Linked DNA regions of Macaca fascicularis. The protein of the gene in region 6 purifies or fractionates together with the protein of the main gene of each other region. This does not show direct contact. Links are inferred from orthologs where the notes say so. Each region holds a gene or a part of one and is shown on either strand. Other genes may lie near its edges. The genes, in order: ING1, ARID4A, BRMS1L, ING2, HDAC1, SAP30 and BRMS1.

Region 1 (4,141 bases), on a different chromosome or scaffold from region 6:
AGGAAGGAGGCGCGAGAGGTCTCGCTGCAAGGCTGCGCGACCAAAGCGCTCTTTGTAGTGAAGTGATGAGGCGGGTGCTGCGGGGGAGGGGGCGGCGGGTCCAAGCCGCGTCCTCTAGGAGGGGGTGCAGATTACGGCGCGAGATGGAGGGATGTGCCGGCGCCTGGGGCTGTAGGACGCCGAGATGTGGCTGCAGGAGGAGGGCGGCTGTGGGCCGGGGTTCCCGCGGACCCGGTGCCTCGGTCCGGAGCAACGCCGCTCCCCTGGCCCTTCTTCGCCGCCCCCCACCCAGTCCCCAATCCGAGTGTTACATAAAGTACCGGGTAGTACTCCGTTCGGGGTAGCTCGGTCGCCCCCGCCCAGTCCCCTCCGGCCCTCACTTGGCACTGGACACCGAGTAAGGGCCGACTGCGAGGGGCGACGCCGCCGGTTGTAGTTTGCGGAGGACGAGGGTTTTTCTCTGTGTGCCGTGGGGAAGGGAAGGGGAGGAGCGGAGGCGGGGAAGGCGCCCATCTGCGCAGCGCTGCGCTCGGGGGGGCGCGGGCAGATCGCTGGGTTGGAGAGGATTGTGGCAGATGAGAGGACCTGTGGGTCGTTCTCTGCAGATCTGGCCGCCCAGGGTGTCAGAGAGAGGTGGCGAGTTCGTGTCCGCCGGGAATTGTTGGCTGTTGGGGAAAGTTTTCTGCGAGGTCAGTCAAGGCTTTGGGGGCTCTGTTTTGAATGTGGATCACCACTCCGAGTTTACTAATGTTTACAAAGCTACGCAGTAGGGAAACGGAAGAGTTAGGTGGGGGCAAAAAAAAATCCATCGCCATGCCCGAAAGCACCAGATACCCCTACCGGGAAGGCGCCCCTGCGCGCTCTATCCAAGACGTAGCTTCGCAGCTGCTTTTATAGGAATCTCATTAGCATACTGTGGAACGTCCCGCCTCAGCCTTCCGGTGGTTGGCTGTGACGTCCTTCGTGGAATGTCCTTATCATTCCCCTGCGGAACGATTGGTCGCTGAGGCGGATGAAGGCGGGTGTAGCGCAATAACTGGCATGGGTCTGTGTTTCCGCTGTCTTCTTTTTTCTTTTTCGGGGAGGAGCGGGGTGGAGTGTGGTTGATTTGAACGTCTTCGGGTCGCTCGGCCTCCAGCCTCGGATTGGGCCTTGTCGCTGCTGGGGCGGGCTGTGCTCTTCCGCCTTGCGGTGTGGTTGGTTCTCCTCCTGGCCTCCGCCCTCCAAATCGGCGATTCCCATATGCGGCGGCTCTCGGGGGGCGCGGCGAGTCTCCCGCTGGCCTCCTCCCCATTGGCTGGAGGGCCGGCTGGTGTCGCCCAGGCCCCCACTCAGCACTGCCACTTTTGGGCGCGGAGTTATGGCAGTAGCGGGGACCCCAGGGCTGGGGGCTCGGGGCCGGGGCTGCAGTTCGGGCCGCCTCCCGCGACCCGCGAGACCGGCCCGCAGACAGTCCCAGGCCGCATCTTTGCTGACCCGAGGGAGGGGCCGCGCGTGGCCGGGGAAACGTGAGTGACTGGGGCTGCGTCCACGAGCGGGACCCTCGGCGCGGGAACTTTCCTGGAAGGTGCTGTCCTCGGGGCGGGCGGGCTCCGTGGAGTGACCCTGGGGCTCCGGACGGAAGGGAGGCAGGGGCTGAGACCACTCTGATCGTTCAACGATAGAAAAAAGCGCGGGGCGGGGTGCAGGGTCCCAGCCGTCAAGACAGCAAAGTTCACGGAGCCACTTTGTTCTCCTGTCGTTGCTGGGGAGAGCCTGGCTTGCTGCTTGCTTCAGGTTCACCTAGGATGATGAACTTTTTGGCTTCAGGAAAGATCACAGTCCCGCGCCTGCGGGAGTACTGGAGCCGTGCAACTGGTAGCGCTGAGAAGCGCGAGAATCTGTCGCAAGGGTCACAGCTCCTTGGACTTCGCTGTAAATGCTGAGCTCTGCTGCGTAGTTCTGAAAGACGAAGCTTGTTTTCACAGATCTACTCTACAGGAAGTCAGACGTCTTTTGCTTAGTAGGCATCGGTTGTCTGTTAATTCGTAAACATGGATTATAATTAGTTTATCGATTTAAAATGGTGTTTGAGATTGCTTGAATTATTTTTCAAACATTATTATAAAAATACCTACCCACCCCCTGGGAAGTCCGCTTCATAAAGAATTTCAGGGCAACCCTTACGTAAAATTAAAATACATTTAAAATAATTGGACAAACCAATTTCAATGTTGCTACAATCTCATTTAATCTGTAAATTCCATGTGTTGCTGCTTTCCATGGTAATGTTGGTGTGGAGTATGTTTGGAAGAAAGGTAGCAGTGTGTCTGAAGCTGAGTTGCTGGCATTCAAGGAGCAGAGTGTCTGGAAGGATGGCTTCCTATTTCGCAGTGGTGGTGTTCCTGTCTATAAATATTTGTACTTAGTGGTTTTGTTGATAAAATACTTTGTTTGGGGTATCAAAGAACTATTAGGTAACAGAAATACTTCTTGGTAATTTTGCAATGGGATATCTGTTTCTCTTCCCCACAAATTAGGCTTCGTCTGGATGGAAGCTTGCTTGTGATGCCAAATAACCTCTGTGTTATTAAATTTTAAATTTATATGATGGTTTTCTTTTCCATCAAATGACAATACTGTCTTTAGAACTTTGATTACTGATGAAAAGAAGTGATACCATTTTATAAGCCTAAATCCATTTAAAAATAAATGGTACACACTCATATTTTAACATCTATGATAAATAAGTTGGATAAATTGGTATTACTTGGATACGTTGAACACAGCTATTTATTTTTATAATTAGTGACTATTTGAGACTAGGGCATTCCTCCTGGTGGCAGGCAGCCTGCATTGTTCCTCTAGGAAATGTCTTCAGAGCTGTCTTTAGCTTGAGAATATACTCTGGAAAATAATACCATTTAGAGAAGCTTCAGCGTTGGCCCAACTTCTTATGTTTACTCTAGTGTTAGGTATATATCTTATAACTATTTGGAGATAAGATCTGGAAAGGGAGGGGGTACCATTTTAGACAATCCCTCCCACTCCCAGCCCCTCCCCATACACTTCCTAGTTTACAAGTAGTATTGTTGGCCTGGCACGGTGGCTCACTCCTGTAATCCCAGCACTTTCCGAAGCTGAGGCAGGCGGATCACGAGGTCGAGAGTTGGGAGACCAGCCTGACCAACATGGAGAAAACCCTGTCTACTGAAAATACTGGGCGTGGTGTTGCATGCCTGTAATCCCAGCTACTCGGGAGGCTGAGGCAGGAGAATCGCTTGAACCTGGGAGGCCAAGGTTGCAGTGAGCCGAGATCGCGCCATTGCACTCCAGCCTGGGCAACAAGAGCAAAACTCCGTCTCAACAAAAAAAGTAGTATTGTTGCCTTGTTTAAAGAGACTGCAAAAAGGTTTTAGGAGAATAATCTGGTACTGTTTAATTTAATGGTTATTGTTTGAGGAAAAAGAGCTCTGGAATTTCTTTGTGAGTAGCCTTTTGGCAAGACTGTTTACTGCCCTTATTTCAACTAGATTTTTTTTTTTTTTTTTTTTTTTTTTTTTTTGAGGCGGAGTCTCGCTCTGTCGCCCAGGCTGGAGTGCAGTGGCGCGATCTCGGCTCACTGCAAGCTCCGCCTCCCGGGTTCCCGCCATTCTCCTGCCTCAGCCTCCCGAGTAGCTGGGACTACAGGCGCCGCCACCACGCCCGGCTAATTTTTTTTGTATTTTTAGTGGAGACGGGGTTTCATTGTGTTAGCCAGGATGGTCTCGATCTCCTGACCTCGTGATCCGCCCGTCTCGGCCTCCCAAAGTGCTGGGATTACAGGCTTGAGCCACCGCGCCCGGCCTCAACTAGACTTTTTTAACAGCTTTTGTTTCTTGAGAAATTGCCTAATTACACTTTAAAATCATATGCACTGTCCTCTAACATGCCCAAGAAGTTTTATATTTAAATACTGAAGAGGTTTTCTTTTCTTTTTGATGGCATTTTAAAGTCCATTGACTTTAATAGATGTGAAGATGTTTTTGTTTAAGCAGTAGATGCAAAAGTAAAATCTACCAGCTTTGTTTTAAAGCAAGGCTAGTACATTCACTGCAGTTAAAAAATAATAATAATGACCCATTACAGTTGTGCTCCTGTAGTCCTAGCTACTCAGGAGGCT
Region 2 (4,226 bases), on a different chromosome or scaffold from region 6:
ATGCCTTTCACTTTTTTATGAATACTTTTGAGCAAAATCACTGTTACGAATAAAAAACTGATTCTGCTTAGTTGTTTTCTTACTGAGAAATCTTAGTCCACGTGGATTACGGACGCTATGTCACATTTAAAAAATTACTCCATTCTATAAAACAACTAGCCAATTTATACTCCAATTCCACTATTTAAAAATATGTTTCGTTTAACAGAATACAAAATGTTAACAGAACAAGACCAACGTCTATCTTATCGGGGACGTCCTTTTAAGATGTTTTCAGTCCCTGCACAACCAATCTTTCCTTTCAAAAAGCAGCATAAGCCTCGCGCAGAGGGACACAGACGCTTGTCTAAGGTCACAGAAGCACCGTCTGTGCTGGCAAGTAAATTCCTCAGCATCCAAAAAGCCAGCGCTTTCTCCAGTTTCCTCATAGCTTTTTCGCGTGAGGAGCACGCGGAAACCTCTACCCATGCAGAATGTTTCCAAGAATCACTTCTGACCTGTCTTAACTAAGGAGACTCCCATAGTTTGTGCCAATCAGGTGGAGAATATGGCAAGTATCCAAAATGCACTTCCAAAGACAGGAAAGACTGCTCAGACAGAGGCAGAATTCAGAAAATCTCTCACATTCTCGAAAGCCCGAAAAAGCACCGCCAAGAAAGACTTTTGCCTCTCCTCCACCTCTTTCTCTCGGCGGGAGAGGAAGCCTCGCCCCCATTCATCCCGCCCCTTCTCCCCACCTCGCCGCAGGGAGAACTTTTACCATGGCTTCCTGCGGCCCCTTCACTTCCGGTGCCGGTGCCGCTAGGGCTGCGCCATCCCCCCCAGTCAATCGGACAACCATAGCCTCCAACTGACCTTTCTGACAGCTCTGAGACTCCTCCGGCCAAGACTAGGTGCTGTCCTGGAGGAAACGGTGGAGGACGGACGCACAAAAACCAATCTACCTGATGAAAACTCCGTTCCCTTCTTGCCAGAAACATAAAATGCGATGGAGCTACGGCGACCGCTGCCGAGACAAAATGGCGCCGAGAACCTGGTTTAGCGCAGGCGCCTTGGAAAGACCCTGCCCCGCCCCCGTGCAAGCCCCTGGCTGCAATTCTGGGTTCCGTTTCCATGGGACACTCCGCCGCCAATCCTCGTGCCGAACTGCTCTTCCTGACCCCTCAATTCACCAATCAGTGCCCAGTCAAGCACATCCGGAGTCGTCTCTACCAATCATTTCTCAAGACTTGCTTACTCAATAACCAACTCTCCAATAACGTTGGTCTTCGGAAAAAGCCAATCATAAGTGGAAGATGTCCTACCTGCTGTTTTTCGCACCAATCCATGAAGTTTCAGAGCTACATCCAATGAGGACGGCAGGTAGCGAGGTCCTATCCGAAGCTCTTCGGCGTCATGAACAGCCAATAGGAGTTCGTGTAGAAGCGAGTCTGCTCAACAGCTTGTTATTCGGTGGATTGTGGCAGTAAATCGGGGCGAGTGGGGAACCGGGCGCAGGAACTGCAGCCGCGGTTGGGAGTGGTGCTGCCCGGACGGGGGCCCACGGAGGTCAGAGGGGAGGAGGACTCTGGAGCTGACAGTGCGCACTTCACCCGCAGTTGGTAGGCGGGGAGAGGGGAATCGGGGGATACTGAATGGATGAAGCGGCAGTGGCAGCAGCTGCTGCTGCCCGGGGTCCCGGTGCAGTTGGAAGCTTCGGAGGTGGGGAGAGGGATGCTAGGCAAGTGGCGCGGCGAGCGCAAGAGAAGGGGCCAGCCATGGAGCAGCGGCAGCAACTGCAGGAACCGCCGCCGCAGCTGCAGCCGCCTCGTCCGCTTCCCCGGGTTCCCGGGAAAATGGCTGTGGGGCTGGCCGCGCCGCTAAGTTTGCTTCCGCGCCGTGAGGAGCGGGCTGCTTGGGGGAGCCGTTCCCCAACTCCGCGGCGCGTCCACCTCTGCGGAGTCCGTGGCAGGACTCGAGGGGCTGCGAGCTGATACGTCTCTGGGCTGTACAAAAAGTTGAGGCGGGCGCTGGGAGGAGGCAGCGGCTGCTGCGGTGCGGCTCCCCTCCCCTCCCACACCCTGTCCGGGCCACCTCCCCTCCTCCTCCCCTCAGTCCCCCGCCCCCTCCCCCGCGCGGGTCTCCCGGGGCTCTGGCGGCTCCCGGCTGAAGGCCGCGGCCCCTGCCCCTTTGGGTGAAGGAGCGCTTCTCCTTCCTGACATGGTGCAGAGCAAAGGAAGGAGAGCAATGGCGCCGTGACACTCCGCTGCCGCCACCGCGGGCCCGGGGCGGGCCGAGGGGGCCGAGCAGCGGAGGCGGGGCGCGGGCCGAAGTCGGGGTATCCAGGGGACAGCGGTGCGGAGGCCCGGCGGTCGCCTCCGCGGGGGACCTGGGGAAGCCCGAACGGCGCCCTGCCCTTTTCCGGAGCTATCTGTCCTGGGGCTCCGAGTTCAGCATTCCGGGTCAAAGTGGCCAGCGAGGCGGGGGCGCGGTGGGCCTCTGGCAAGCTCCGGGGCGGAACGGGCTGCCCTTTGGCGCGCGTGGGGTTCTTGTTGCCCCCTCCGCTCCTGCATCCTGGCTGCCCTCAGAAGGGGTCTTGTTCCTTGGCTGGTGAGGATTCTGCCCCTCCCCGCTGGCGTTTGTTTACTTTCTTTCCCTTGGTCGCTCCCCGCAGTTGACTGATTCTGTCTGTGCCTCTTTCCCCCTCCCCGTAGTTCTAGCGACTGCGACGATAGCTCGCTGAGCTGGAACCCCACAGATCACCAACAAAAATGAAGGTAAGTGGAGTCAACGCTGCCCCGATCCTCGCGCCTTGGACACTGCCAGTCGTAAGGCTAGTGCCGTGGAATGTCATTTGTTTTGCTCCTCAAAATTGATGTTCCTACTGATCAGCAGTTTCGGCATAGGAGGATGTGTTGAATGGGTGAGAAATGATCTGTGTGTCTAAATGCGGAGTTTGGGCCCTCTCTGTGGCAGTACTTTGGAAAGGCTGGTGCAGCCTTTCAATTGTTGTCCATTCGGATAGTATTTTTAAACACTTCCTGTGTTGGCAGCAACCTTTGCAGAAGTAAAGCTTTTGTCCTGCTTTGGTTCTTTGGGGGATTTTTCGAAAATTTTTTTCTTCCTCAGTGCCAATGCGATTTTGTAAAAGAAAGAGTACGTGGATTAAGTAATTAAGTAAAGAAGGTGTCATTTCTTCTGTGTGTAAAGTGAACTTATGTGGCTAAAATATTTGAAGTTGAACTATAATAATAGTTTCAGTTAAATCTTTCCAGTAAATATTTTAAAACATATACTTATTCTAAAAAGATACATATTCTACTGAGGATGACTGCAAATATCAATATGTGGATGGTTAAAGGGAAAGGATCTCATATAGCATTCTTGAATGCTGTGGCCATTGAATGTTTCAGGTCAGATTTTTATTTGCCAAAAGCATTCCTATTCAATTTGTATTTTTTGTAAACGTTCTTAAAAGGTAGCCAATTCCTGTCTTATTTACTGTTTCAGTATATTAAGCTCTGAAATATAGCATTTTCCCAAACTTTCTCATGGTTTTCTATTTTCTCCAAGTAAATGACATATTTAACATTCTTTAATATTACTTGGGAAAACTTATTAGAAAACAAAAAATCATTTTCTACTTAAAAACGTATCTCCAAAGTGTACACTGTTAACTTTGCACTTAACAATGTTAAGTTGAACTTGTATGGATACACTTTAACTTCTGAAAAAAAAAAAGGTAAAATGACAGATTGAGATAGCAATCATCCTGTTACTGTAAAGATTAAAATGAATGGTAGAGTGAAATTTCTTGCATCATTCTATGTATCATTCTGGTCATGTCCATTTGCTGAAAGTAGATGTTTCTTAGTAACGCTTGTTTTTTTATACTAAGAAGATCAGTGTGGTAAACTAGGTATGTCTACAGGTCTTGAACCATCGGTTCATATCTGCATTCATCAGCTGAATTCAGACTTAAAACCTTTCAAATGCAGCTTTTAGCAAATGAATTTTCCAAATTGATACTCTCCTTATGAAAAGATGTTACCTTTACGTACCTTTGTCAATAAACAATTATATATTGTTAGTGTTAATATTAGTAGCAATATTTATTTTAATTAATTTGCAAAATTTCAGGAAGCTATAAATGAATAACTTAGTTTTATGATATGTGTAATATGAAATATTTTTTCTGATTTTTTTATTTTTCTGCTTATATAAATAGAATTTTTGAAAAATTTTGT
Region 3 (2,461 bases), on a different chromosome or scaffold from region 6:
ATACCAGATAAGTAGTGCTTTTAACTCCAGTTTTGTTTTGTTTTTTTAAGAGGTGGGGTGGGGATGGAGTAGGAAGAACGTGCTTTTAATAGTGCTAATAGTAAATTTTACCAACTCTATTAAGAAAAGAAGGATGATCTACTAAGTATTGCTGAATGTGATATTTTTGGCAGCATGCACTGCTGATATGCAGCATTCTGGTAAACGACAATTATGTACCAGAGTCTACTGTTGTAGGCCAGTTTATTTTGGTTTTATATAGGTAATAATCTAAAATGAATTGAGGAGACATATTGTAATTCATTCATTCATTCTTTTTTTTCTTTTTAGTGCTGTAATTACAACAATTAACCATGATGAAGTTTGGTTTAAGAGGCCTGATGGAAGCAAATCTAAGCTTTACATTTCACAGCTACAGAAAGGAAAATATTCAATTAAACATTCATAATCATGATTTAAGTGTTATCTAAATTTACCTTATTAGTGTTACCAAATGTAATGTGCCATGAGAGTAAAAAAAATGTATTCAATAACTTAATATTCTCACTGAATCATGAGAGAATGTGTATTTGTAGGTAGTACTCTAAGTAGATCTCATTGATATGTTATTAAAAGAAACAGTAATAAAAATTTTATCATGATCCTTACGTTGATTTGCCTCTTAGGTCTGATGACCAACAGATATACTGTATATGTTAGGGGTTTCTTTCTAAAGATTTTTCTTTGGTTTTTAAAAAAGTTATGCAAATTTGTTTTATCTTTAGTAAACTATGACTACATTTATCTGCAATTTTAAAAATTTTCCATATCTTTGTCATTCATTGTGTGTTTGTAAATAAGGTCTATAAAATGTTTCCTATAAATGGTTTGTACTAGTACATTAGTGTTAAATCAGAACTGAAATTTAAACATATATATATGAGTATATATATATATGTGTATATATGAGGATGTATATATGGCATCATCAGCTTATTTAGAACTGATGGCCGTACCTTACAATCTTGTTTTACCCAAAATTAAGCTATTGGGTTTGAAAGCTAAAAGGAGCACTTTTGTAGAATAGCAACTTTTCTTTTCCTCTTCCTTAATTGTATGGTGGGGCGATGACCTATTTTTACAAATTATACGTAATGAGTAAAATTAGCGTAAAGTGATCACATGCTTCTACCTGTATTTCTAGTGGCCCTTTAGAGGCAGGTATTTATACCTGGTATTTATGATGCAGTATATAAGTGGTGAACAATAACTGACAGTATTGTGCTTGCTGTACACGTCTGGTCTTTTGAAACAGATTTTAGTAAGCATTTTCCAGAGGTAAAACTGTGTCCTATTCTAATTTTATTCCTAGGGCAAAGTAGACAGGGATTATTTCCTTGAATCTGTTTCCAAATTAATATTTTTATCTTTGGTATTTCTACACTTTAAGGCCATTTGGTGCAATTTAGAAAGTGTTGGCCTCCCTTCCCTTAGCCACATTCAAAATTAACTTCCAAAACCTCAGGAACAGTACAAAGAATTAAAACCCTCGATATGGCAGCACAGCCGGCTGTAGTATATATTTAGGGTACACCAAATCGAGTATTCTTGGTGGTCTTGTGCACTTTAATTTCTGTTACAATAAGAGTTAAGAGGATGAGGAAGAAATCTACTCATTAACACTTACTGCAGAAATATCTGTGTTATTCCGTTTGTTTTCTTATTATTTTACCTCTCCAAACATCTTCCTGTGCAGATCACTACTTCATAGTTACCAAATTTTAAAACACTTAACTTCTGAAATTCAGTGTCAGCAAAGTGATATTACATTGTTCTGTTTCTAACTAACATTAGCAAATGTACATAATGTCATAACCCAATAGTATTTGACAGTACTTATGTATACAATGTTTGATAAGCATTTTTAATAAGATTTGTATTTTTAAATTTAGTATATAATAAAAAGATGTGTTTGAGTGTGATTTGTAGTGTCTTGGATTACTTATGTGTATTTAGTTCTTTTTATAACCTATCCACTTCTAAGAAAGATTTGAATTGGTTTACGTTAATAGATATGGGGTGGCCTGGGTGCAGTGGCTCATACCTGTAATCCTAGCACTTTCTGTGGTATATTTAGATCTTCAAGACAGCTAAGTTATACTTAATTTTAAAATATATGCATATATATTGTATTTTGATTAAAAGGTACAGTGTAAGTTATGAAATTCTAAATAGAAAATCTTTGTTTTTTTATTTTTATTTTTATTTTTGGAGATGGAGTCTCACTCTGTCACCCAGGCTGGAGTGCAGTGGCACAATCTTGGCTCACTGCAACCTCCACCTCCCGGGCTCAAGCGATTCTCCTGCTTCAGCCTCCTGAGTAGCTGGGATTCCAGGTGCGTGCCACTGTGCCTAGCTAATTTGTGTATTTTTAGTAGAGTCGGGGTTTCGCCATGTTGGCCAGGCTGGTCTCAAACTCCTG
Region 4 (4,185 bases), about 10 Mb from region 6:
TAACTCAAAGGTAGTACTCACAATAGGGCTTGTTTACATAGGCATTCCATTAAAATTCTCCATGCATTCATTCTATTTGCACCCATTTCTTTCAAAAAAGTCCATATGAAATTAAAATCAGTTCCTCTGCTTGGCATCTCGTTTACACTACACCGAAATTAAACCCCACTAGGAGATCACGTAGATTACGGGGCCGAGGGCCCGCCCGCTGACTAGGTTTTTACTCGCGTCTGCATGCCCCAGGTCCCCTCCGATTGTAGTCCTGGGGCAGGACCAAGCAAAAAGTCCCGTAAAGCTGGCGTGTGCCCCACTCCGCCAGGAAGCCCCGCCGACGTCCTGTGTTTAAATGTTCTGACACACCCCAAACGCAGTTGTTTTTAAAGGCTGTCTGTGGGACCTATGTGTTGGCAGGCAGATGCCGTCCCGCATCCCTTCCCCCTAAATGACATAGAAGATTCCAGCGCAGGGGAAGGGCCACGAAACCCGCAGGGCACACGACGCCGGGGGCCGGAGGAAGCACCGCCTACCTCCCCGATCAGCCCCACGGTGCCGGACGAGCCCGAGGGCCCGGCAGGAGGAGGGCGGCAGCCCCAGGCGAGCTCGGAGGCGGCGGGAACGCCTTGCCGCGCATGCCGGGAGCCGCCCGCCGCCTGCCGCCCGCTGCCCGCCGGGACGCGCAGTCCTGCAGGCCTCGCTCCGGGTCGTCCGAAAAAAAGGAACCGCCTGCTGCTCCTTTGCAGGGGCGCGAGGAGCCGCACTCGGACCGCCGGATGGGTAAAAAGCCGGTGTGGCCGGGCGGAGCTGCCCCTCCCCGCGGGGAGGGCGGCCGGAAGGACCGAGCCGCCTCCCCTGCCGGGTCCCATTCAGACGCGGGGCGCAGAGACTGGCTCCCCAGGCTTCCCCTTTAAGGGGGGCGGGGCGCGGCCTGCCGTTTGGCCGCCCCCGACACCCTCCCCCCCTAGCCCGGAGCCGGCAGACCAATCGCCCGGGCGGCAAAGCGAAGGCGGGAGAATGCGAACCCTCCGGTAGGCGGTAGGGGCGGGCCCCGGCCTTATTGGGATCGAGCGCTGCGCAGGCGCAGAGGCGGCCGCGGGCGGAGGGGCGGGGGCAGGCCAGCGGGAGGCTCCCCGTCAGGCACGGAGGGTGACTGGGGACAGGCAGGCGGCGACGGGCTTGTCATGGGGATCCGGGCTGCGAGACGGCACTGGTAGCATCTGGGGACTCCGAGGGGGACAGGAAGTGTCAGCGTCCGGGACCCCGGCGCCGGCCCCGCTGAGGGGATCCCCACTGCTCCGGTCCTGGAGCGGGAGGGGAGAAAGGAGGGAGCCCCAGTTTCGCCCCGCCCCTGGGCTGGTGCTGCGGGGGCGGGGAGTGAGGGCTGCTCTGGGGGGAGTGGAGATCGGGGAGCGCGGCCGTGCCCTCTCGAGCGGCTGCGGGGTCCCCGCGGCGCCGGGCTGCTGAGCTGAGGGACCGCGGCGGCCGCGGCCGGTGCATGTGCGGCTGCTGGATGCGGAGGCGGCGGCGACGGCGCGCATCGGCAGGATGTTAGGGCAGCAGCAGCAGCAACTGTACTCGTCGGCCGCGCTCCTGACCGGGGAGCGGAGCCGGCTGCTCACCTGCTACGTGCAGGACTACCTTGAGTGCGTGGAGTCGCTGCCCCACGACATGCAGAGGAACGTGTCTGTGCTGCGAGAGCTGGACAACAAATATCAAGGTAGGGGCCGCGGGGCTGCCGGCCTCGGGAGCCGGTGGCAGGGAGCCTGCCGGGGCAGTGCCACCTTCCCTTTCTCCCGTGACAGTCTCCCCGAGCCCACCGAGGGTCTGCCGAGCGGGACGGGGAGGACTGGAGACTGGGTTCGCGGCCCTCCTTGCCCCGCGGTGGGCGAGTACTTCTCTGGGGTCCCCGGAGTGGGGGTGGGGGCTGTTCGTCAGCCCCCGCTGCAGACCCAGCGGCTGCAGCTGCCGCGGAGGGGAATCAGCCATTTTAAGCAGCAAGCATTTGTTCAGGCGCTCGCCTGCCCCGTGCCGCAGACCCTGCCGCCCCGGCCCAGGACTGCAGCCGGGCAAGGGCCAGAGGGAGTGAGCGGCCGGGCTCCCGCTGGTCTGCGGGGCGCACTTCCCCACCTCACTCGCCCCCACCCCGGAGTGCGGGTGCTTTGGAACGTGCGGGAGGGAGGGGGCGAGAGGCCGCGGAGGCAGATTGAGGGGGCCTTCCTCCGCGCTCCTACCCCGGCCGGGAGGAGAGCAGTCCGTTCCGCTCTTTTGCCCCGGGAAAGTTCTCGGCCGCCCCGAGCCGCAGCCCTAGCCCAGCTCTTTCGGCAAAATGGTTAAGAGGGGAGGGGTCCCCCGCGGGAGAGGAAGAGAGGGGCGTGTGTGGCGGGGAGGGCCCCCGCGCCGGGGGCGGGGCCTGCGGGTGTGACGTGGGAGTGGGAGGGGCGCGGCGCGCGTTCCCGCGGGCCTGGAAAATGGCTGGTTGCGAGAGGGGCGGCGGCGAGCCGGCTGCTGGGGAGGGAGTCGAGGCTGTGCGAGGGCGTTGGTTCGGCCCCAGCGGAGTCCGAGTCGGGGTTTGCAGCATGTTTTGCGGTGATGTTTCCAATCTCTTTCCCAACCAATGGATCAGGACGGAGATTAGCAGCTCAGAGGGTCTCGGACCCTGGCTCCGCGTAGGTTCCGGGACATGTGTCACTTCCGGGCTTCAGGAGGAAGTGGGTTGGTTGACTGGGCAACCGCCTGGCGTCCCCAAGCCCCTCCTTCTCCGACTTTTAAGTGTTAAGGCGAAACCACCCTTTACGGGCCGACCCGGGAAGCCGGGACAGAATCCGACCTTCCTTACAGTGTTATCACCTACTATCGGTGGTGCTACTAGGAGGGCAGTTTAAAAGGGGAAATGTGTTGCGCTTAATAACCTTGAATCGAGGAACAGACCTTGAACATAGTATGGAAACAGCCATATGAACTTTAAAGATAATTTCCTGGACCCATTCTCTGTTTTTGTTAACACGTCAGTAATCCTGTAGTTTAAAAGTCTCTAAAGGAATCCACTTCTTGGGTGACATAAGTGTCTCTGATTTTTTTTAGTTGATAAATTTGTGTTTTCTGAATCCATGGGATTCATAGGACTGATCCGCGTTTGGGGGAGGGGTGGGGGGGAGGGAATTCAAACTGATGCGCTGAGTCCAGACCATTATATAAATATTTCTTTTACAGATTAGAAAGAGTTTAAGTAACTCGTCCAGTTAATTAGATGTAGAATATTTGGCTCCAGCTCCTGCAACTTTAGATGCATATCCTTGTTTTCAAACAATTTAAATTTTAATAAAAACTGTCCAAGGGGATTTCTGCAGATATGGAGCACAAACATGAATGGTAACCTAAAAATGATACGTGCTTAATAATTGTATATTGAACCTTTCTAGTTTTTCAAATAACACTAAAGTTTGTAAAGTTTGCAGTTGCTGTTGTTGTTGTTGTTGCTTCAGACAGAGTCTTGCTCTGTCCCCTAGGCTGGAGTACAGTGGCTGGATCTTGGCTCACTACAACCTCTGCCTCCCGGGTTCAAACGATTCTCCTGCCTCAGCCTCCCGAGTAGCTGGGATTACAGGCACCTGCCATCACGCCCCTCTAAGTTTTGTATTTTTAGTAGATACGGAGTTTCACTATGTTGGCCAGGCTGGTCTTGAACTCCTGACCTCAGGTGATCCGCCCGCCTCTGCCCCACAAAGTGCTGGGATTACAGGCGTGAGCCACCGCACCCAGCAAGCTTGCAGGTTTTTACATTTCTTTGAAGACACGTTTCCTTTCACAAGAGTTAAGCTATTTGAAGTTGGTAAGGGATACTATAATTTGTTGACAGGGAAATCTGCTTTCGGATCATCTATAATTGTGATGTATTAATAGCTCTGGTAAGATTAGTAATATAGTAGGCCTTACAGGACTAAGAGATTATAAAAATTCTTAGCTCCATGAAGATTGTGATCAATGATTAAAAACTCATCCAGTTTTCACTCTTTGCGCATGGTTACTGAGCTCAACTTTCAGTTTTATGTTTATATATATTTTGTGTTTTGGGTTCAGATTTCATGTTTTTTATTTCTTCACTAGTGCTTAAGTCTTTTCTGGTTTTGGATCTAATATTTCTAGCAATATTTAGTGATATAAATCATATAGGCAGTCAAATAAATTTCT
Region 5 (3,452 bases), on a different chromosome or scaffold from region 6:
AATCTAACCATCAAAGGTGAGACCAGGTAGCACAAGGATGGGTGGGCGGGGTCCTGCTTGGTGCTCCTGTAACTCAGCACCCCTTCTCCCACCAAAGGGCACGCCAAGTGTGTGGAATTTGTCAAGAGCTTTAACCTGCCTATGCTGATGCTGGGAGGTGGTGGTTACACCATTCGTAATGTTGCCCGGTGCTGGACATACGAGACAGCTGTGGCCCTGGATACGGAGATCCCTAATGGTAATAGCTGCAGGGCCAGGTTTGGCTGGGCTGGGTGGGAGCTGGAGCTCATCTGTCCTTAAGTTTATAACCCCTTCCCCGTTGGTCATATGACCACTGTTCTTCTGATACTAGTCACTGAGTCCCCTGCATGTCCTCTTGTGATCAGCAGACCATAACCATCACTTTTTCCCTAGTCCTTTTTAGCTCTGTCCCCTCTCCCTTCTGCTTTTGGTCTGGACAAAGTTCTCAGTGGTAATTTACAGCTTTGGAATTTCTGCTCTGTAGAGTAACTGGAGTAGTGAGTGAAGGGAGCGTTCATAATGAGCATGGGCTCAAGTGTCCTAAACCAGGAACATGGACCTTCTCCTAGCGACATATACACCACTGGTATAGACATAGAGTGATGTTAACAAGATGGAAATCCCATAGGTACCCGTGTCTCACCGTGTCTTGGAGGCATTCTCCTCTGTTTGACAGATGGATCAAGGGCCCAGAGAAACCTACAAATGCTTTAGGGTGCTTACGTGCAAATGGTTCAGGTGCGGTGGCCAGGTCTCTTAACGGTCTTCTCCCTGCCCCAATCAGAGCTTCCATACAACGACTACTTTGAATACTTTGGACCGGATTTCAAGCTCCACATCAGTCCTTCCAATATGACTAACCAGAACACGAATGAGTACCTGGAGAAGATCAAGTGAGTATATCCTCCAGCCACCCCTTGGTTGAACATTCCTGACTTTGGTTTGTCCCTGACCAGAGCCCTGCTACTCTCTCCCACTGGCCACAGACAGCGGCTGTTTGAGAACCTTAGAATGCTGCCGCATGCACCTGGGGTCCAAATGCAGGCGATTCCTGAGGACGCCATCCCTGAGGAGAGTGGCGATGAGGACGAAGAAGACCCTGACAAGCGCATCTCGAGTAAGACCTAGACGCAGAGCCCTATGCCTTCCACTCAGTAGGCAGCCCCCACTTCCACCACCATTCCTGGCTGCACACTCTCCAAGCTCCCCACCTTGGAGAAATCTGTTTCCAGTTCCAGTGCCTGTAGGAACAGGTTAGGGAGCCTGAGCTCCTCCCTCTTCTCTGGTTCCCTTTCCCTTGGTGTCTCTTGGAGGGCCTGCAGGGAAGCACTGGGCATAGATGCTGAGCTAGATCGGCACCCGCCTGCTCTCACCCATGCTTCCCACTCCCTCCCAGTCTGCTCCTCCGACAAACGAATTGCCTGTGAGGAAGAGTTCTCCGATTCTGAAGAGGAGGGAGAGGGGGGCCGCAAGAACTCTTCCAACTTCAAAAAAGCCAAGAGAGTCAAAACAGAGGATGAAAAAGAGAAAGACCCAGAGGAGAAGAAAGGTGGGTTTGGGTTCAGCCGGGACTTGGGTCTTGAGCCTGAGAGGATGAATCTATGTAGGGCAGTGGGAGGAGGGAGTGACTCAGGCCCTGCCAGCTCCTGTGGGGCTCTTCCTCAGTTCCTTGAGCCTTTCAGTGTCTCCCAGAAGTGGCAGGGCCCACAAAACAACGAACCTCTACTGGCCAAGCACGGCTCTCACATACCACCCAAGCCCTTTTCCCAGCACTGCACCCCAGTTTCCCAGGGGGCTGCCTCCGCCCACCAGATTCTGGCTGTAGCAGGCTGGGAAACCGGTCCAACCTGTTCTCTACAGGGCTCACTGGGAAGACCAGGGATGGGCTTTTCTCTCTTTTATGTCCAGTGAGCGTAGTGTTGGGGAAGGGGTCTCAGGGTAAATGAAGACCTCACGGGTCTTTCCAGAGGTGCTGCCCTTAGCCATCCCTGTACTCTTGTGTTCTAGAAGTCACAGAAGAGGAGAAAACCAAGGAGGAAAAGCCAGAAGCCAAAGGGTGAGGAACGAGCTGCCTGCAGCCATCTCCCTGGCATTGGAGCACCAGCCCCTTTGTCCCACTACTCTGAAGAAAGGCACAGGGACAGCTGGTCCAGCTTACAAAGGCCTCTTTCAGGGACCAGTCTGTCCAGCTCTGCAGTTCTAGGCAGAGCTAGGAGCCCCAGCCCCCAGTAGTCACCTGGGATCCTGTGGAAGTCACTGTGTCTGCACTTTTGCCCCGAGGCTCTGGGCTGGGTCATCTCATGCCAGTCTCTGCTCTCTCCACAGGGTCAAGGAGGAGGTCAAGTTGGCCTGAACAGACCTCTCCAGCTCTGGCTCCCTGCTGAGTCCCTCACCTTTCTCCCCCAACCCCTCAGATTTTATATTTTCTATTTCTCTGTGTATTTATATAAAAATTTATTAAATATAAATATCCCCAGGGACAGAAACCAAGGCCCTGAGCCCAGGGCAGCTGTGCTGGGTGAACTCTTCCAGGGGCCACGTTGCCACCCATTCTTCCCCAGTTCTTAACCTTGAACCATAAAGGGTGCCAGGTCTGGGTCAAAGGGATGCTTTTATGCAACCGTAAGACAAAATCCTGAAATGCGAAGTGCCTGCTTAGTAGCTTTGGAAAGGTGCCCTTATTGAATATTCTAGAAGGGGTGGCTGGGTCTTCAAGGATCTCCTGTTCTTTTCAGGCTCCTAAGGTAACATCAGCCATTTTTAGATTGGTTCTGTTTTCATACCTTCCCACTGGCCTCAAGTGAGCCAAGAAACACTGCCTGCCCCGTCTTCTCCTAATTCTGCAGGTGGAGGTTGCTAGTCTAGTTTCCTTTTTGAGATACTATTTTCATTTTTGTGAGCCTCTTTGTAATAAAATGGTACATTTCTATATCCTCCTGAGCTTGTTTCCTACGTGTCATTGGGTTGGTTTCAACTCTTACTTCCCTGCCCTTCTGGTGTCCATGAGTATTGGGGCAACCCCCTGAACAAGAAAACCCCATAAACTTACCTGCCTGCCTTAACTCCTCCCTTGAGGTTTGAGGTGAACTACTTTCCACCAATCTTCTCACCCTACCCCCAGAAGACCACTCATTAAAGCACCACTAAAGGGACGACATTTATTCCTTTTCCAAATGTTACAGTAAAACCAGGTGGAAGAGAATGGTTTTAGCAGTTAGAAAAAAAAAAAAAGTACAAATCTGGGGTTTGGCCATTAAAAGTTATTTACAACAATGGGAGAAAAAAAGACAACAAGAAGTTGTTTCACATTACAGACCTCCCCCCACCCCAAAGCCTAATACTTGCTTACCAAGTCAAAAAAGAGACACAGTTGATTCACAAGCTGGAGGTTTGAACTTGAGTAAGACATTTATAAAAACCTAGACGGGGCA
Region 6 (4,098 bases):
CAAAAGAAAAAACAATTATTTATCACTAAATTTACTTACTAAAAGAACTTGCAAAACAAAACCCTACTGCCTAAAATATATTTTAAAACGTATTTGTGTTTAAGCAGCGTATATCTTCTGATAAATAATGACGCGTTTTAACTAGTAAAGGCGCAGCTTTCGTGTTAGCCACGCCCATCCCTCGCCCCGCCCTCCACGAGCACCTCCCCCCGCATGCACGCACGGACATACACGCGTACGCGGGCACACACACGTACACACGCGCGCGCCCGCGAACACATACATATAAGCAAGAGCGCACAAACGCGGGCAGCATCCAGGAGCGCACGCGCCTGCCAGGTCTCAGGAAATGCGCTTTCTACTCCCCGCGCCGGTAGAGCTAATGCAGGGAAGTTTCTGGGAACAGTCGAGCAGCGTTTGTATTGGTGAGGTTCCAAGTCTCCTTTAAAATGATACGACTCCGCCCTTCTCCAAAACCGTTTGAGGAGAAATGGAAAAGGTTGGGCGTGGAGGTGAAAAGGAGCCCTGTTGTCAGCTGGTCCGTACTCCACCTCAGGAGGCGGCCAACTCCGTGCGTCCAAGAATAAAAACATTTCCCTTGTAGGAACATGCAAGGGTTTAGAAACGCCCCCCCGCCCCCCGCGAGGCGTTTGTGAGGGGGACCTGTCACAGTTGAGAAGTCAGGATGGGCGTTTTCCTCCCAGGAGGTGCCCTACTAATTTGCTGCCTCGATAGTTGGTCAAGCCGGGATGTTAGCTGCGGAACCTCCAGGACCGAAGAGCGCCAATTCTCCTGAGTTCTCCTTGGTTTGGGTTTCCCACAAAAGCGCGGTCACACCAAAAGCTGTGTTTCCACAAATGCGAAACGGCCTCGAAACTTTTTTTTCCGCACACGCTCACTTCCCACACCACTCCCATCCCTTTATGTTTCGCCTCAGGAATCGAGTAACTTCTCTGAAACCCAATTCTACGAAATCCCAGCAGCTAAACACAGCCCGACTTCCCTAGAGACAGAGAGAGAGAAAACACTGTAAACCCCAATCACACGCTCCTGTTTTCCCGGTACTGAAAAAAAAAAAAAAAGTGGGTCCGTGGCCGCGCTATGCATGCTAGGATTAGTAGTTCCTCCATCTCTCAGGGCGAAGGGTCAGGGCGGAGCTCAGGTTGACTCCGTAGCAGACAACTACAATTCCCATGGGGCCGCGCGTTTGAAAGAAAGGGGCGGGACGGGAGGGGGCGCGTCGCGCTTGCGCAGTCCCCGGGGCCGGAGGGAGGCGGAGGCGTAGCGGTCCAACTGCTGAAGTCCCCATGTGACAGTGAGCGGGGTCCCGGCTCCAGAAGACGCTAGAGTCTGCGTCCGGGCCCTCAGCACTGTCCACTGTTCCGGGGCCAGCAGAGACCAGCAGGCCCGGGACGGTTGGTGTTTGACCGTGCCGCTAACTTGGTGTACAGAGTGAATTGCCGCTGCCGGAGCGGAGAGAGGCGGAGCGGCCAGGAGAGAGGGGATTTCTGTCAGCGCCGGCGCTCGGGAGCTCGGAGACATGAACGGCTTCACGCCTGACGAGATGAGCCGCGGCGGAGATGCGGCCGCTGCAGTGGCCGCCGTAGTCGCTGCCGCGGCCGCCGCCGCCTCCGCGGGGAACGGGACTGGCGCGGGCGCCGGGGCTGAGGTGCCGGGCGCGGGGACGGTCTCAGTGGCTGGGCCCCCGGGGGCGGCCGGGCCGGGCCCAGGGCAACTGTGCTGCCTGCGGGAGGATGGTGAGCGCTGCGGCCGGGCGGCAGGCAACGCCAGCTTCAGCAAGAGGATCCAGAAGAGCATCTCCCAGAAGAAGGTGAAGATCGAGCTGGATAAGAGCGTAAGTAACCGCGGGATCGCCCTGCCCTCCTGTCCCTTGGTGGGGCCCCAGGAGTCGGGCAAAGGCACGGATTGTCGGCGGGGTCTCCCAGACCTGGCTGCAGTGCGGTCTCGTGGAGTCTGTGTTTGGAAGCAAATAACAAAGTCGCTGCAACTCCGACCGCCACCCCAACACACACACAACACGCACGCTGTCGTTCCCCTTTTCTTTCCCACCCTGCCCCCAGCCTCCCGCTGCCTGCGACTCTCCCGCGCACTGTCTTCCCTCTTCCTTCTCCTCTGCGACCAGGACACGAAACAAAGGGGACCGCCGGACCGAGGGCCCAGAGTAGTTTTCTTGCAGCCCGGCAGCTCTTCTGGAATGGAGGCGCCTTTGTTTCGCTGCCCAAGCTGGTGTTTGGCCCCAGGCGGTGCTAACTCCCCTGGTCTAGGGAAAAGTGGAGGACCTTCGCGATCAAGGAAGATCCTGTTCCTTTCTGTGCTCCGTCTCCTCCGGAGCGGAGTGAGAGGGAAGCCGAGCTCGCCCGCCGCCTGGCAGTGAGCCGGGGCTGTAAACGGCGTTTGCGCTGTCAGCTCCGAGGGCAGCTGCTCCGATGGTGGGGAGCACGTAGCCTCTGCGGTTTTGCCATCCCCTTGGCAGCCATCAGGATTTCTTTTTTCCTCCTCCTGCGCGTCTTTTCGTTTGACCATCTAACAGCCGTTGCCACTTTTGGGAGATCTGGCTAGCGGTAAATGAATAACATGGTATCAAGAACCTACCACAAGTCCTGCGTATTTTTATCTTGCGCTTGGCTTCGAAGTAAATGTAAAAGCCTGTTAGCTCAGTCCGTATTTGTTTCAAATGTTAGTCTCCAGTTCGCAGGAGTGTGTGTAATTAAAGTTTTTGAAAAGTTTATTTGTGATACTTTTTTGCCCGTTTAAACAGTTTTCAGTGTTATCCGTGAGAAACTTTTCAGGTGAACTTGCATAATTTCAGATTGCTTTGGGAAAATGTGTTATAAATAAATACATTGATTTAATTTAATATTCAGAAAAGTTGATAACTGAAATTTAAATATAGTTATGAAGTCGATAGCTCATTTGTAAAAACGGATGGTTTTGTATCCGGAATATAATTTGGGCATTCAGTTGGAAAGACTGGAAAGCATACATTATGTTACAAAAATATGCTCTTCTTTAAGTAGAGAAAGTACTGTCAAGTAGCAAAAGTGGGCAGCATCATCTTTCCCCTTAACAGTTAAAAATTCAACATGAACTAATTCATGTCATCCTCACTGCTATTTATTTATTTATTTATTTATTTATTTATGTGAGACAAAGTCTCACTCTGTTGCCCAGGCTGGAGTGCAGTGGCGCGATCTCAGCTCACTGCAACCTCCACCCACCAGGTTCAAGTGATTCTCCTGCGGTAGCCTCCTGAGTAGCTAGGATTACAGACTAGTGCCACCACGCCCGCCCAATTTTTTGTATTTTTAGTAGAGACGGGATTTCACCATTTTGGCCAGGCTTGTGTGGAACTCCTGAGCTCAAGAGGTGCTGGGATTACAGGCGTGAGCCACCGCGCCCGGCCCCTCACTGCAATTTGATGACAAAACCCAGAGGGTTGGAATTTCTCATTCTCCTCTCCCTCCCTCCCTTCACCCCTTCCCCAAATGGAACCAACCCCTCCTTCCCCATCCACCATCCTTTTAACAGTATTCCAGACTTCTTATGTTTTAACAGGGTTTAGGATTTAAATGTATAAATATTTCATTGTGTTAACAATGGCCATCTTGACTGTCTTTATTTTTACTATCTGTGGCATATGTGTTTTCCTAATACATAGACACATTTTACTGTAATCATTAGCAGTGTGTGAAACTTTTCTGTTTCAGGCAAGGCATCTTTACATATGTGATTATCATAAAAACTTAATTCAGAGTGTTCGAAACAGAAGAAAGAGAAAAGGGAGTGATGATGATGGAGGTGATTCACCTGTTCAAGATATTGATACCCCAGAGGTAAATGGAAGTTTTTTATGCTTAATATAAATCCTAAGTAGTGCATTCTGAAACCTTTATAAAAAGATATGAACAATCTTTTAAGTGTTTAAAACATTTGAGAAATCTGAAAATGAAAGCAAAATTAAATATAGCCAGTTGTCATGCATTTACACAGTTTGAATTGTTACATTTTAAATTGACAATTTTTGCGGCTCTGTTGTCACATAACTTACTCTTTTTTGACCTCAGTTTATATTATTAA
Region 7 (2,878 bases), on a different chromosome or scaffold from region 6:
AAGAGAATTGCTTGAGCCTGAGAGATCAAGGCTGCAGCGAGCCATGATGTGCCACTGCACTCGAGCCTGAGTGAGGTTTGGCCTTTGAGGACTTTCCATCTCCTGGGGTTGTCTGAGCGGGTCCCCAGCTCTCCCTGGGGAGCCTTTGCTCATATCCCACCCTCCTCTTGGAAGTCCTGCCTGTCCTGACTGTCCAGGGCTCATGTCAAACGTTACCTCCTCTGTGAGGCCTCTCCGGTCTTACTCCAGTGCCTATGGCTTCACTCTCCTGTGTGTTCCTGTGCCCTACCATGGGGTGCCCACATCCCAGAGGGCACCAGCTGCCTCCGCCCCTCCCTAGGCAGGGTTAGCTTAAGCTTAGTCCAGGGCCTGCTGTGCTTTCATCTGTCCTGGCAGAGCTGAGTCCTCCTGTGCCCCTGAGGGCATTCCTGCAGCAGCCAGCCTTAGTCATTATGGCCACCTGGTGCTGGAGAGCAGGCCCAGGCAGGGAGGGAGGAATCTGGAAGGCCGTGACTTGAGCGAATGAGAGGTGAAGGCATGGAGACATCAGGTAGGGAGCACTGTGGGGAAGGGGAGTTGTCTCTGAAGGGAGAAGCCCTGCGTCTGTCTTTGGATCGGGGAAGGGGCCAGGTCAGGGCTGTGCTGCAGGGTGAGATGGGATGGGCCTCAGCCAGCTGACCTCAAGACGAGGTGAGGGTGAGCAAGGGATGGGGAACAACACTTGGTGTCCTCCATGGACTTGGTTCCAGGAGGACCCTGGAACTGGGGGGAGAAGAGGTAGGAGGTGGAACCTGAGCTCGGACCCAGATCCTCAGCTCCCACTTCATGCTGTCTGCTGTACCCCCACTCCTGAATGTCAGGTGGGTGGCCCTGCCCTCGTCACCTGCCGCCTCCACTGGGCTTCCTTGACCCCCACCACAGGCCCATACATCGTGTACATGCTTCAAGAGATCGACATCCTGGAGGACTGGACGGCCATCAAAAAGGTGGGGCCGCTGCTGCCCATGTGCCCTGCCCCACCTCAGGGCCCCCCACCCTGGCAGCAGCTCTGCCATCTGCAGGCCTGGGAGTTCTCTGCTCACCAAGGCTCCCCCATCTTCAGCCCAGGGTCCCTGGATCGCAGTTGGCTCACAAGTCCTCTTGCTCAAGGCGGCCCTGGGAGAAGGGATTTCTAGTCTGTGTCAGCCCCTTCCTGTTCCAGGGCAGGTTTTGATGGGGTGGGAGGGGGGAGGGGGGCAGGGAGGCGGGAGAGCCGTTGAGCTGGCCAGCGGTCAGGAGCATGGGAGCTCTGGCTTGGGGGGCCCTATGTTCCTGGCCCTGGGGGCATAGCACTAAGGCAGCAGCCCACACGCCACAGAGGTGGGAGGTGGGGCAGGGATTGCCAGGCTGTAGGTGGGCTCTCAGGGGGGCTTTTCTTCTCATCCACCCAGGCTAGGGCAGCTGTGTCCCCTCAGAAGAGAAAATCGGATGGTAAGAACTATGGCTGTTGTACGGCCTCCCCTGCCCGCCTTGCCATCACCTTCCCTCAGCTCAGCCTCCAGGAAGGAGCCCAGAGAGAGGCTGTGGCTGTGTCAGAATCAGTGGCCCAAGAAAGTTAGGATGGTCTAGATTTGAGGGGCTTGTGGGAGTTTGAGGAGCAGGAACCAGGATGGGGCTGGGGAAGCCTGGGTTGATGGAGCTCCCACTCAGGAGGGGTCAGGGAGGGCCGTGGAGCTGCCCAGGAGGCCTGTCCTGGGCCAGCCCAAAGTCACTCCGCTCAGTAAGTGGCTGCCCCCCTCCTTTCAGCTTCCTCACTGGTGACAGTTTTCTCCTTCCCACATACGCACAGGACCGTGACCCTGCTGTTCAGAGCCAGGGGGACCCTCAGAGCAGCTGGCACCGCACCCAGGATTCTCATCTTCCTGCTGCAGACAGGCAGACCCACAGGCCCCTCAGGGTCTGCCCAGCCAGGCTCCTGTGGTGCTGCTGGGCCCTCCCACTCCGCTGGCACTGGCCTGGACTCCTCCTCTGCCCTCCTCGAGGCCTGCACAGCTGTGGCTGTGGAGCCGACCTGGCCAGGCAAGGCTGCTGTCTCCATCCCTGAGCCGCCTGCCACCTCCCGCTCCTGAAGATCCGCCTCTTGGGGCTCCCCTGACAGAGAAGACAGCTGAAGTCAAAGCCACATCCTCTTGCTGACCTTGGATGCAGGCTCTCCGGCCTCAGGGCCAGGGAGCCAGGCCCCACTGTGCAGGAACTCTGAGTCAGACGTGATATCTAGGGGGGCTGTCCACCCTGGCTGGGGCTGGAGGCGAGATGCCAGGCCCCCCAGGTTTTCTCAGGGCAGTTCTTGGTGTCTGCCTCTCAGATTTCAAGGACTAGAATTAAAACCTTTCCTGGGATTCTGGTGTGCCCCGTGTATGTGTGATTTACCTTGCAAGAGAATCAGGGCTTCTGTGGGGAGCACCTGAACCAGGCTGACTTCTGAGGTGCCTGCAGATTGCCACTCCTTGCACTGCCCAGCAGAGGCTGGAGCACTGTGCGTGGGGCCACACTGGGGAGGGGGAGGTGGGCGCTGGGCTGCCTGGCACTGGGCAGAGAACATATGGCGCCAGCGGAGTGCCTCGGGTGGGGAGGATGGGTGCGTGTGCTTGAAGCCTGGGTCATGTCTGCACCTGTCCCAGTTGCCTGGCAGATTGGCAAGGCAGGCTGGCAGAGCCTGCATGCGTAGGAGGCAGCCGGCAGCAGCACCATGTGCTAACGACCTCACAGCCAGACTCCCCCTGGTTAGTGCTGAGTGTCAGAACCACCCCCAGAACCTCAGTTAAGCAAATAGGTTGGTTTCCATGGAGACGTGGCATATTTTCTCCATGGCAACCTAAAATCCTAAAACCCATGTTCA

Evidence for each region.
Region 1: the proteins of SAP30 (region 6) and ING1 purify together in Homo sapiens (affinity purification with mass spectrometry; 6 studies listed by BioGRID and IntAct, with this or other methods). This does not show direct contact. The link is inferred for Macaca fascicularis from reciprocal best matches to the Homo sapiens genes SAP30 and ING1.
Region 2: the proteins of SAP30 (region 6) and ARID4A purify together in Homo sapiens (affinity purification with mass spectrometry; 5 studies listed by BioGRID and IntAct, with this or other methods). This does not show direct contact. The link is inferred for Macaca fascicularis from reciprocal best matches to the Homo sapiens genes SAP30 and ARID4A.
Region 3: the proteins of SAP30 (region 6) and BRMS1L purify together in Homo sapiens (affinity purification with mass spectrometry; 4 studies listed by BioGRID and IntAct, with this or other methods). This does not show direct contact. The link is inferred for Macaca fascicularis from reciprocal best matches to the Homo sapiens genes SAP30 and BRMS1L.
Region 4: the proteins of SAP30 (region 6) and ING2 purify together in Homo sapiens (affinity purification with mass spectrometry; 3 studies listed by BioGRID and IntAct, counting the BioPlex papers as one, with this or other methods). This does not show direct contact. The link is inferred for Macaca fascicularis from reciprocal best matches to the Homo sapiens genes SAP30 and ING2.
Region 5: the proteins of SAP30 (region 6) and HDAC1 purify together in Homo sapiens (affinity purification with mass spectrometry; 19 studies listed by BioGRID and IntAct, counting the BioPlex papers as one, with this or other methods). This does not show direct contact. The link is inferred for Macaca fascicularis from reciprocal best matches to the Homo sapiens genes SAP30 and HDAC1.
Region 7: the proteins of SAP30 (region 6) and BRMS1 purify together in Homo sapiens (affinity purification with mass spectrometry; 3 studies listed by BioGRID and IntAct, with this or other methods). This does not show direct contact. The link is inferred for Macaca fascicularis from reciprocal best matches to the Homo sapiens genes SAP30 and BRMS1.

The regions. Positions count from the first base shown.
Region 1 is NC_088391.1:101,291,382-101,295,522, forward strand, and holds the start of ING1 (inhibitor of growth protein 1), read left to right. Parts: upstream 1-1,341; 5' UTR 1,342-1,360; coding exon 1,361-1,508; exon of another isoform or gene 1,509-2,002; intron 2,003-4,141. UniProt on the Homo sapiens protein: Cooperates with p53/TP53 in the negative regulatory pathway of cell growth by modulating p53-dependent transcriptional activation. Implicated as a tumor suppressor gene.
Region 2 is NC_088381.1:126,146,077-126,150,302, forward strand, and holds the start of ARID4A (AT-rich interactive domain-containing protein 4A), read left to right. Parts: upstream 1-1,426; 5' UTR 1,427-1,601; intron 1,602-2,092; exon of another isoform or gene 2,093-2,589; intron 2,590-2,693; 5' UTR 2,694-2,750; coding exon 2,751-2,756; intron 2,757-4,226.
Region 3 is NC_088381.1:103,694,360-103,696,820, forward strand, and holds the end of BRMS1L (breast cancer metastasis-suppressor 1-like protein), read left to right. Parts: intron 1-330; coding exon 331-448; 3' UTR 449-1,961; downstream 1,962-2,461. UniProt on the Homo sapiens protein: Involved in the histone deacetylase (HDAC1)-dependent transcriptional repression activity. When overexpressed in lung cancer cell line that lacks p53/TP53 expression, inhibits cell growth.
Region 4 is NC_088379.1:188,295,656-188,299,840, forward strand, and holds the start of ING2 (inhibitor of growth protein 2), read left to right. Parts: upstream 1-1,385; 5' UTR 1,386-1,542; coding exon 1,543-1,714; intron 1,715-2,563; exon of another isoform or gene 2,564-3,359; coding exon of another isoform or gene 3,360-3,366; intron 3,367-4,185. UniProt on the Homo sapiens protein: Seems to be involved in p53/TP53 activation and p53/TP53-dependent apoptotic pathways, probably by enhancing acetylation of p53/TP53. Component of a mSin3A-like corepressor complex, which is probably involved in deacetylation of nucleosomal histones.
Region 5 is NC_088375.1:202,688,324-202,691,775, reverse strand, and holds the end of HDAC1 (histone deacetylase 1), read left to right. Parts: coding exon 1-16; intron 17-97; coding exon 98-238; intron 239-805; coding exon 806-914; intron 915-1,007; coding exon 1,008-1,138; intron 1,139-1,417; coding exon 1,418-1,570; intron 1,571-2,028; coding exon 2,029-2,077; intron 2,078-2,346; coding exon 2,347-2,374; 3' UTR 2,375-2,952; downstream 2,953-3,452. UniProt on the Homo sapiens protein: Histone deacetylase that catalyzes the deacetylation of lysine residues on the N-terminal part of the core histones (H2A, H2B, H3 and H4).
Region 6 is NC_088379.1:178,114,134-178,118,231, forward strand, and holds the start of SAP30 (histone deacetylase complex subunit SAP30), read left to right. Parts: upstream 1-1,298; 5' UTR 1,299-1,540; coding exon 1,541-1,855; intron 1,856-3,728; coding exon 3,729-3,854; intron 3,855-4,098. UniProt on the Homo sapiens protein: Involved in the functional recruitment of the Sin3-histone deacetylase complex (HDAC) to a specific subset of N-CoR corepressor complexes. Capable of transcription repression by N-CoR.
Region 7 is NC_088388.1:8,063,357-8,066,234, forward strand, and holds the end of BRMS1 (breast cancer metastasis-suppressor 1), read left to right. Parts: exon of another isoform or gene 1-550; intron 551-860; coding exon of another isoform or gene 861-921; coding exon 922-986; intron 987-1,430; coding exon 1,431-1,470; intron 1,471-1,828; coding exon 1,829-1,836; 3' UTR 1,837-2,378; downstream 2,379-2,878. UniProt on the Homo sapiens protein: Transcriptional repressor. Down-regulates transcription activation by NF-kappa-B by promoting the deacetylation of RELA at 'Lys-310'. Promotes HDAC1 binding to promoter regions.